Saccharomyces cerevisiae S288C: one gene and its partner. The gene in region 1 interacts genetically with each later gene. Each region holds a gene or a part of one and is shown on either strand. Other genes may lie near its edges.

Region 1 (7,499 bases):
AGGTCCATACTTTCAAAAGCTCAGCAGGCAAGGAAGATGAGGAAAAAACTACCAGCTCGAAAGCTGACGAGAAAACTCCGAAGTTGGAATGTTGTAAATACCAGGTGACTTTTACAGACCAGAAGGCTCTTCAAGAGCACGCAGACTATCATTTAGCATTGAAACTGTCGGAAGGCTTAAATGGTGCTGAAGAATCATCCAAAAACCTTTCTTTCGGGGAAAAAAGATTGTTGTTTTCACGGAAAAGACCAAACTCACAACATACTGCCACACCTCAGAAGAAACAAGTTACATCTTCCAAAAACATCTTATCATTTTTTACAAGAAAAAAATGACCTATTCCAAATAGACAATTATATGGCTTCAGCAACTAAAACGTCCTGATAATATTGCTTTTCCAAAATTTCTAAATGATTCACGGGCGCCAGGTTTTGTTGATAAGAAGAACGAAGTACCTTTAATATCTTATGATCGGAAAATACCGACTGATGACTTTTGAGACTTCGCTTTTGATCAAAGTGATAACATTATGTACAATATTCATACTAGGATTTCTTGATAGAGATTTGGAAGTCTATAAAAAAGAAACAACTTGTTATAATTTATTTTTGTAGACATGACTCACAGAATATTACATACCTTCATAATATATAAGATCCATGTGATAATGAATGCTGGAAGCATGATCTCTGACCTCAGCTGATTGTTCAGGGGACTTAATCAATTAGATGCGTTTAAAGCAGGAATTGGTTTGATACACACAATCTCATGTTACAAAGTAACGCTGTTTAAAAACAAATCTGAAGAATAATAATGCAAGTAATATTATACATCATAAAAAAGTTATACACTATCATTACTCTTCTGAAGACCAGATTACAATACAAATTAAGGCAACTTGGCCGAGTGGTTAAGGCGAAAGATTAGAAATCTTTTGGGCTTTGGCCCGCGCAGGTTCGAGTCCTGCAGTTGTCGTTATTTTTAATGTTTTTATTTGGTAGCAACAAAATTTGTCAGTCAATTTCTTTTGTTTTTTTCTTTAAAAGGTGTAACAACGTTATCACTCAAGTATTCGTTTCTTATTATCAAAAGTCTTAGACTTTCTATTAATAGCAGTTTGTTCTTTTCCACAACGCGCTAAAGATATTTCGCTTTCTGACCCGTTTGGTTGCAGAAAATTTTTTTAACTAATTTAGGAATATTTAGATTAGTTAATTGGAGGGCTTATTCAAAGACAGTAGTTACAGCGATTTAAAAGCAGTGTCCCTCGTAGGCACCTGTAGTCATTTCATTCGTTTGGATATTTCGCTGTACTGCTTCCTGCATTGTAATCAAGAGAAAGTTTACAACTTAGAGCACTAACTTTGTTTGTAAACATTTTCCGTTTATAATCAATTGCCATATCATCAATTTTATTATCATTCTTTAACCAGTAACTAACTGATTCCGCACCCACATTATTGAAATTTTTGCGATATCTTTTTCCTCAACTGACGCAGTCAACAGTCAGAAACAGAGAATGTATAAAGATGGTCTCATTGAAAATAAAAAAAATTTTACTCCTGGTGTCATTGTTAAATGCAATCGAGGCCTATAGTAACGATACAATATATTCAACTTCATACAATAATGGAATAGAAAGCACACCCTCATATTCAACATCCGCGATATCCAGTACCGGATCTAGCAACAAAGAGAATGCAATAACATCAAGCTCTGAAACCACCACAATGGCTGGCCAATATGGTGAAAGTGGAAGCACAACAATAATGGATGAACAAGAAACTGGTACGTCCAGCCAGTATATTAGTGTGACGACGACAACGCAAACTTCTGACACGATGTCATCAGTAAAAAAGTCTACGGAAATAGCGACACCAAGTAGTAGCATTGTACCCACCCCTTTGCAGTCCTATAGCGATGAATCACAAATATCACAAACGCTTAGTCACAATCCGAAGTCCGTGGCGGAGTCAGATAGCGATACAACCTCCTCGGAATCCTCAAGTAGCGTAATAATATCCACATCCGATAGTTCAGCGGTACCGAGGGAAATAAGTCCAATAATAACCACAGATTCTCAAATTTCCAAAGAAGAAGGCACATTGGCTCAAACTTCCAGTATCAGTGAAACAACGAGAATTGCACAAATGGTAACCAGAGTTTCACAAATCTCCAGCATAACGGCAGCTTCAACAATAGATGGCTTTAGTAGTGAATCAACACAAACAGATTTTTCCAACACTGTATCGTTTGAAAATTCAGTCGAAGAAGAATATGCCATGAGCAAATCCCAGCTCTCTGAAAGTTACAGTTCAAGTTCAACCGTCTATTCTGGAGGGGAGTCGACTGCAGACAAGACATCTAGCTCCCCCATTACCAGCTTTTCATCTTCTTATAGCCAAACAACGTCAACTGAAACCTCTGAGAGCAGCCGAGTGGCTGTTGGAGTATCCCGGCCCTCTAGCATAACGCAAACTACATCAATTGATAGTTTTAGTATGAGTGAAGTAGAGCTTTCCACATATTATGACTTAAGTGCTGGCAACTATCCTGACCAAGAACTGATTGTCGATCGCCCGGCCACTTCTTCCACTGCCGAAACATCTTCAGAGGCAAGTCAAGGTGTAAGCCGTGAATCTAACACTTTCGCAGTATCTTCGATTTCCACGACAAACTTTATAGTTAGCAGTGCTTCGGATACTGTTGTTTCAACTTCAAGCACCAATACAGTGCCATACAGCTCTGTCCATTCAACCTTTGTTCATGCGACTTCCTCGTCGACTTATATTTCTTCTTCCCTTTATTCTTCCCCATCCTTATCTGCATCCGTTTCCTCTCACTTTGGCGTTGCTCCTTTTCCATCTGCTTACATATCTTTCTCATCAGTACCCGTTGCAGTATCCTCGACGTACACGTCTTCACCATCGGCTTCTGTTGTAGTACCTTCTGCCTATGCGTCTTCACCATCAGTACCCGTTGCAGTATCCTCGACGTACACGTCTTCACCATCAGCACCTGCTGCAATATCCTCAACGTACACGTCTTCACCATCGGCACCTGTTGCAGTATCCTCGACGTACACGTCTTCACCATCGGCACCTGCTGCAATATCCTCAACGTACACGTCTTCACCATCGGCACCTGTTGCAGTATCCTCGACGTACACGTCTTCACCATCAGCACCTGCTGCAATATCCTCAACGTACACGTCTTCACCATCGGCACCTGTTGCAGTATCCTCGACGTACACGTCTTCACCATCAGCACCTGTTGCAATATCCTCAACGTACACGTCTTCACCATCGGTACCTGTTGCAGTATCCTCGACGTACACGTCTTCACCATCAGCACCTGCTGCAATATCCTCAACGTACACGTCTTCACCATCGGCACCCGTTGCAGTATCCTCGACGTACACGTCTTCACCATCAGCACCTGCTGCAATATCCTCAACGTACACGTCTTCACCATCAGTACCCGTTGCAGTATCCTCGACGTACACGTCTTCACCATCAGCACCTGCTGCAATATCCTCAACGTACACGTCTTCACCATCAGTACCCGTTGCAGTATCCTCGACGTACACGTCTTCACCATCAGCACCTGCTGCAATATCCTCAACGTACACGTCTTCACCATCGGCACCCGTTGCAGTATCCTCGACGTACACGTCTTCACCATCAGCACCTGCTGCAATATCCTCAACGTACACGTCTTCACCATCGGCACCCGTTGCAGTATCCTCGACGTACACGTCTTCACCATCAGCACCTGCTGCAATATCCTCAACGTACACGTCTTCACCATCGGCACCTGTTGCAGTATCCTCGACGTACACGTCTTCACCATCGGCTCTTGTTGTCCTGTCATCTACTTCCACATCCTCTCCATATGATATTGTTTACTCTCCATCAACTTTTGCTGCCATATCATCCGGTTACACGCCTTCACCTTCTGCTTCTGTCGCCATGTCATCTACTTCCTCATCCTCTCCATATGATATTGTTTACTCTCTATCATCTTCTGCTTCCAGATCGTCCATTGCTACATATGAATTTTCACCTTCCCCATCTACTTCTTTACCCACCTCTTCTACTTACACATACTTTTCATCTGCTTATGCGTTTGAATTTTCTTCTGAGCGGTACTCAACAACATCCACAATAGCACCAACTCAAATACATAGCACATTGTCCAGGATTACGGATTTCTTACTGCAGACTTCGATGGCAATCCAAAGTATAGTCTCTCAGCAAATTTCTACAAGCTCAACTTTAAATGACGAAATACATTCAAGCGCGCTTTCCGTTTTCAACCCTTCAGCTTCGAATTTGGTTGAAACTTCTCTGATAATTTCATCGACCCAAGCAAGCATAACAAGCCCCAAAAACTCAGCTAAAATTAGTTCACTACAGAGCCAGCTGTCTAGCAGTACAAAAAATCCATACGATACGGCGAACAAGAATACTGAGACCAGTGGCAGATCCACAGTTGTTTCGAATTTCCTATACACATCTTCCGCGGCGAAACCAGACAATGAAAAGTTTTCCGCTACTCCTACAGAGATAACTACAATTTCAAGTAGCTCGCACGCATATTCTTTATCTATTCCAAGTTCTCATAATTCTGTGACTGGACTATCACATAACTTTGTCGATTCGTCAAAAAGTGCAACCTCATTTGGCTACTCATCCTCATCAATATCTTCAATAAAACTTTCAAAAGAAACAATACCTGCAAGTAAATCTGTTTCAAACACACAAGAAAGAATCACAAGCTTTACATCAACATTACGAGCAAATAGTCAGTCTGAAAAATCCGAAGGGAGGAATTCTGTAGGTTCTTTACAAAGTTCACATATTTCATCTAACCCATCGCTCTCCACAAATACAAAGGTTGATTCGAAAAGTTTATCCAGGAAAGTATCGAAAACCATGGGCGAAAATGGCGAGGAAACCGGCTTAACCACAACAAAGACGCAATACAAAAGTTCTTCTGAAACCAGTGGGTCATATTCTCGGTCTTTTACAAAAATCTCAATTGGACCTGCTACGACTGCAGTTCAAACTCAGGCAAGCACTAATTCAGTATTCACAGCCCCTGCCTTGTCTACCTATCCTACTACTCCGTACCCCTCTCCAAATAGTTACGCATGGTTACCTACCGCTATTATAGTGGAATCATCCGAAACGGGCCCCACTACCGCATCATTCAATCCGTCAATCACTGGTTCACTTCCCAATGCAATTGAACCGGCCGTCGCTGTATCGGAACCCATTAACCACACTTTAATTACCATCGGATTCACGGCCGCTTTGAATTATGTATTTTTGGTTCAAAATCCATTATCTTCGGCTCAAATCTTCAACTTTTTACCTCTCGTTTTGAAGTATCCCTTTTCAAACACCTCATCAGAACTGGACAATAGTATTGGGGAATTATCCACTTTTATTCTTTCATACCGGTCTGGGAGCAGCACAACTACCCTTTCCCCAAAATCCATATCATCATTATCAGTTGTCAAGAAAAAAAAAAACCAGCAGAAAAAAAATGCCACGAAGTCAACCGAGGACTTACATCCTCCACAAGTCGACACATCCTCAATAGCGGTGAAAAAGATTGTTCCCATGGTAGACTCTTCTAAGGCATACATTGTATCAGTTGCAGAGGTATATTTTCCAACAGAAGCCGTAACATATCTTCAGCAATTAATCCTTGATGAAAATTCGACTCTTTATAGCAATCCTCAAACCCCACTGCGAAGTTTAGCTGGTCTAATAGATAGTGGGATCCCATTAGGGGGATTGACGTTATATGGCTCTGGAGATGGTGGTTATGTCCCTAGTTTAACCTCATCAAGCGTCTTGGATTCTTCAAAAGGAAATTCCCAAAACATAGATGGAACTTACAAGTATGGAGCTTTGGATGACTTTATCAATTCATTCACAGATTCTGCATCTGCAGGAAAGTATGCTGTAAAAATAATCATCTTTTTGATTGTTTTAACTATTGGCGTACTCTTGTGGTTATTCGTTGCATTTTTTGCTTTCCGTCATAGAAATATATTATTGAAAAGACACCCAAGGAACTGCATAGGGAAAAGCCTCAATAATGAGAGGGAACTTGAAAGTACCGAGCTTTCCCGCTCTTCTTCTGGAAACCAAGTTTATAATGAAAAGCCGCCAGAATCTGAAAATGAAAGTGTTTACTCTGCGGTAGATGATCATTATATTGTGACTGGCGAAAACACAGTCTATAATACTATTCACAGATTACATTATACCATTAATGATGACGGTGATCTATTGTACAGGGACGCAATCCCCCTCGATTTTGATCAAACCAATGGGGATGATGGTTCGGGAATAGACAGTATAGTAAGAGACTGCGTGTATGACAAAAACCAAGATGCTACGGAAGCCTTCTTGAATGATGAGGAGTCCATATCAGGCATTCTAGATGTTGATGAAAATGGTGATATTCGATTATACGACAGTTATTCTGACAATGAAGAGTCAAACAGTTTTCACTTGCCAGACGAAGTTATTGAAAACTATAACAAGAACCATTTGTGCGAAACTAAACTTCATGGACTAGGCACTGAATCATGTACTACAGATGATCCCGATACTGGAAATCAAATTACGAATGAGTTTTCTACAGGGAGTCAGACATGTTTGCCAAGTACCGCTTATACCACACCCCTTCATACAAATTCGATTAAACTTCACACATTACGCTACACAGAATCTTCACTACCAAAGCCAAATCAGACTCTTTTCTCTAATCTTGAAGATTTAGAAATAGAGGATATTGACGACAATGGTAGTGTTTCAGATGTACATATCGAGGAGCTGGATGCTTTAGACGAAGAACTTTATAAGAGAATGTCGAAAGTTATAAAACAACAGAACCATCAAACGACAAAAATATAGCGAAAAATGATTATTGACTGTGCAATAAACGCTGCTGGAAGGGGCGCTTGCAACAAAAGATGATCACAAAAATTGATACCCATTAATACACATAGGCTCACGCCATTACTATTATTATATATATCATCAAGTATTGCATTTGTAATTTTATGAGTCCTTCTTAGTAATACATGAAGGCTTTTTTTTAATATTTTCGGAATCAACGAGAGTACACTATTCTATCCGATGATAACCGAGATAAATGAAGATAGTAACTAACCAATGAAAAAAGAGCGAGAATAAATTAAAGCAATAATATCAAGTTAGTCGTGGGAATATATGATCCACGCATAATAAGGTTACATTAAGCACTGCTTTATCCTCTATGTCTGCTAAGAAAAGGCCTTCGGGAAACGCAGCATTTGAACTTCCAAAACGGAGAAGAACCTACCAAGCTTGCATCAGCTGCAGATCAAGGAAGGTGAAATGTGATCTTGGTCCGGTTGATAACCCACACGACCCACCGTGTGCACGTTGCAAAAGGGAGCTAAAAAAATGTATTTTTAGCTCTAATAAGGGAAC
Region 2 (3,321 bases), on another chromosome or scaffold:
TCTTGCTATGGGTGGTATAGCCCTTGGTAAGGCAGTTTCATCTTCAGGCTTGTTGGTAACTATTGCAAGAGCATTACAAAAGAAAATTCAGAACGATGGTGTTTTTGCTATCTTATGTATTTTCGGTATTTTAATGTTAGTTGTGGGCACTTTTGTCTCACATACTGTGTCAGCAATCATCATTATTCCCTTGGTGCAAGAAGTTGGTGACAAATTATCCGATCCAAAGGCAGCTCCAATTCTTGTGTTCGGTTGCGCCTTGTTAGCCTCATGCGGTATGGGGTTGGCTTCATCTGGATTTCCAAACGTTACTGCTATTTCTATGACCGATAAAAAGGGTAATAGATGGCTAACTGTAGGCGCTTTTATCTCCAGAGGTGTTCCTGCTTCGTTGTTAGCGTTTGTCTGCGTAATTACTCTCGGTTATGGTATTAGTTCTTCCGTCTTAAAAGGTAGCACTTAAACTGCCCTCATGTAATTACATTTCTTATTACTGCATTCTTTGTACCTTTTTAAACTTTATATATATGACGAAAACTAAAATTTAACAAACTAAAAGTAAAAAATTGCAGTAGATTTTATGCATCTTTCTGAACATCTTTATACAGTGGCATGCTTTCAGCAGCACCTTTTCTTTGAATGGTCAATGAACTAGCTAATGTAGAGAACTTTATAGCCGTAGACAAGGTCTCTCCTTGATACAATTGAGTAACCAAACCGCCCAGGAAAGTATCTCCAGCTCCTGTAGTATCAACAACCGAAACATTTTGAATAGCCGGAAGGAATTGTACTTCAGGGCTTTCGTGCGAACAGAAAAGCACCCCTCTCGAACCCAAAGTCATAACCACAATTCCTCTTTTCTTTCGATTCATGAGTTTTTCATACAAAAGCTCACAAATTTTACGATATTCTCCTAAAAAGTCGTCCTTTATCTTCTCCCTTATTTCTTCAACAAGTTCATTATCAAATACACTTTCCACGATTTGAAGACCCTCAATTTCATTAACGACCAAAAGGTCTACCAACTCCCAATCTTTCTTAGGCATGGCCTTGAAAGGTGAGGGGTTATATACGATCTGAAAATTCGGCCTGTTCGCATGTATCCATTTAATAATGGAAAGAGGATCAGGAATTTCGTGTTGAAAAACAACATACTCTTCTTCCTCCTTGCCCTCTGGAAAAATTTCACACAACTGTTTCGGGTCATAAATAGTCTTGCTGTTAGCACCTTCTACAATCAATATCCTATTTTGGCCACCAGCTTTCTCTTCAATTAGTATGGTAGCGGTACCCGTATTAATGCCTTCGTAAGTACCGACGTGAGTGATATCGACTCCGCAATCGGATAAAGTGTCCTTCAATTGTTTACCAAATGTATCATTTCCAACATTACCAATCATTCGAACACTATATCTGCTGCTGGGGTTTTTTAATTTACCAATGGCCGCAGCTTGGTTCAATCCCTTACCACCAGCATGTGTTTCGAAGTGGTTAGCCCTGAAAGTTTCTCCAGCGTTAGGTAATCTATCCGTAAATGTGTCCAAATCATAGTTTAGAGAACCTATTACTGTAATACCCATCTTTGAAATATGCTGTTGGAACTTTGGGATGAAAGACAACAAACATCTTATTGGCTATTTTTATCCTATTTGCTTCATGATTGTTCTGGCCACCTTCGGATATAAACCCTTTTATTCCCGTTTGATCTGGAGAGATTTTCAAATCACAGTCGACGAAAGTATAAGATTTTTCTTTCTTTTTTTATGACAGAGTATATAACAATAATGGACAAATTAGACGATGAGTATTGTTACACAAATAAGTTTGACAGTAGTTTCACAGGCATCTAATATTGGAAATGGCTGAAAGTACCACGTTAGAAACTATTGAGATACACCCAATTACTTTTCCACCTGAAGTTCTTGCGAGAATATCTCCAGAATTGTCTTTACAAAGACACTTATCCCTAGGAATCAGGCCATGTCTAAGAAAATATGAAGAATTTAGAGATGTTGCTATAGAAAATAATACTTTATCGCGTTATGCGGATGCTGGTAATATAGACACTAAAAACAACATTTTAGGCTCAAATGTTTTGAAAAGTGGGAAAACCATAGTCATAACTTCTATTACGGGTGGAATAATAGAAGAAACTAGCGCCGCGATTAAAGATTTGGATGATTTCGGTGAGGAAGAATTGTTCGAAGTGACCAAAGAGGAGGACATAATTGCAAATTATGCTTCTGTCTATCCGGTGGTGGAAGTTGAAAGAGGTAGAGTGGGCGCTTGCACCGATGAAGAAATGACTATATCACAAAAACTACACGATTCCATATTGCACTCTAGGATATTGCCTAAAAAAGCCTTGAAGGTAAAAGCTGGTGTTCGTAGTGCGAATGAAGACGGTACGTTTTCCGTCTTGTATCCCGATGAATTAGAAGATGATACGCTGAATGAAACAAACCTGAAAATGAAAAGAAAATGGTCATACGTTTTGTATGCGAAAATTGTAGTCTTGAGTCGCACTGGTCCAGTCTTCGATTTGTGTTGGAATTCTTTGATGTACGCTTTACAGAGCGTAAAGTTACCTAGAGCATTTATAGATGAGCGTGCGTCCGATTTAAGAATGACTATAAGAACAAGAGGAAGAAGTGCCACCATAAGAGAAACGTATGAAATTATTTGCGACCAAACTAAGTCAGTACCGTTAATGATAAACGCAAAGAATATTGCATTTGCTTCAAATTATGGGATAGTGGAGTTAGACCCCGAATGCCAATTACAAAACTCTGATAACTCTGAAGAAGAGGAAGTGGACATTGATATGGATAAATTGAACACTGTGCTAATAGCAGACCTAGATACTGAAGCGGAAGAAACAAGTATACACAGTACGATCTCCATCCTCGCTGCTCCTTCAGGTAACTATAAGCAATTAACATTAGTGGGAGGAGGCGCTAAAATAACGCCAGAAATGATAAAAAGATCATTGTTGTTATCTAGGGTTAGAGCGGACGATTTGTCAACAAGATTTAACATATAAAAGACTCGGATAAAATTATCTGATGACTGTCGAAAGGAAACGGAAAACTTTTTTCAACGATAACATGTGTATGTAATATATAACAAAACCATCCGGTCTTTTACAATATAATAATAGTGATAATAGTAACAATAGATCCACTAAGAAAAAACGAATATACGAAAGTTGAATACTTAAATTCTTTCAAAGATTTTACACTTACCTTTTTCTTCTGTGTTGAGGTTTTGGTGATGGAGATGGAGTAGGAACGTTTTTCAAGTCAACGTTAACATACTCAT

What was found.
Region 2: mutations in HKR1 (region 1) and RBK1 together harm fitness more than expected from each alone (negative genetic interaction), as found in Saccharomyces cerevisiae (2 studies listed by BioGRID).

What each region holds. Positions count from the first base shown.
Region 1 is NC_001136.10:1,304,738-1,312,236, forward strand, and holds HKR1 (Hkr1p), read left to right. Parts: upstream 1-1,529; coding exon 1,530-6,938; downstream 6,939-7,499. Other genes in the region: RAD30 (DNA-directed DNA polymerase eta), read left to right, coding at 1-335; ARO80 (Aro80p), read left to right, coding at 7,303-7,499.
Region 2 is NC_001135.5:191,556-194,876, reverse strand, and holds RBK1 (putative ribokinase), read right to left. Parts: upstream 1,581-3,321; coding exon 579-1,580; downstream 1-578. Other genes in the region: PHO87 (SPX domain-containing inorganic phosphate transporter), read left to right, coding at 1-463; exosome non-catalytic core subunit RRP43, read left to right, coding at 1,859-3,043; fatty acid elongase ELO2, read right to left, coding at 3,242-3,321. UniProt on the Saccharomyces cerevisiae protein: Catalyzes the phosphorylation of ribose at O-5 in a reaction requiring ATP and magnesium. The resulting D-ribose-5-phosphate can then be used either for sythesis of nucleotides, histidine, and tryptophan, or as a component of the pentose phosphate pathway.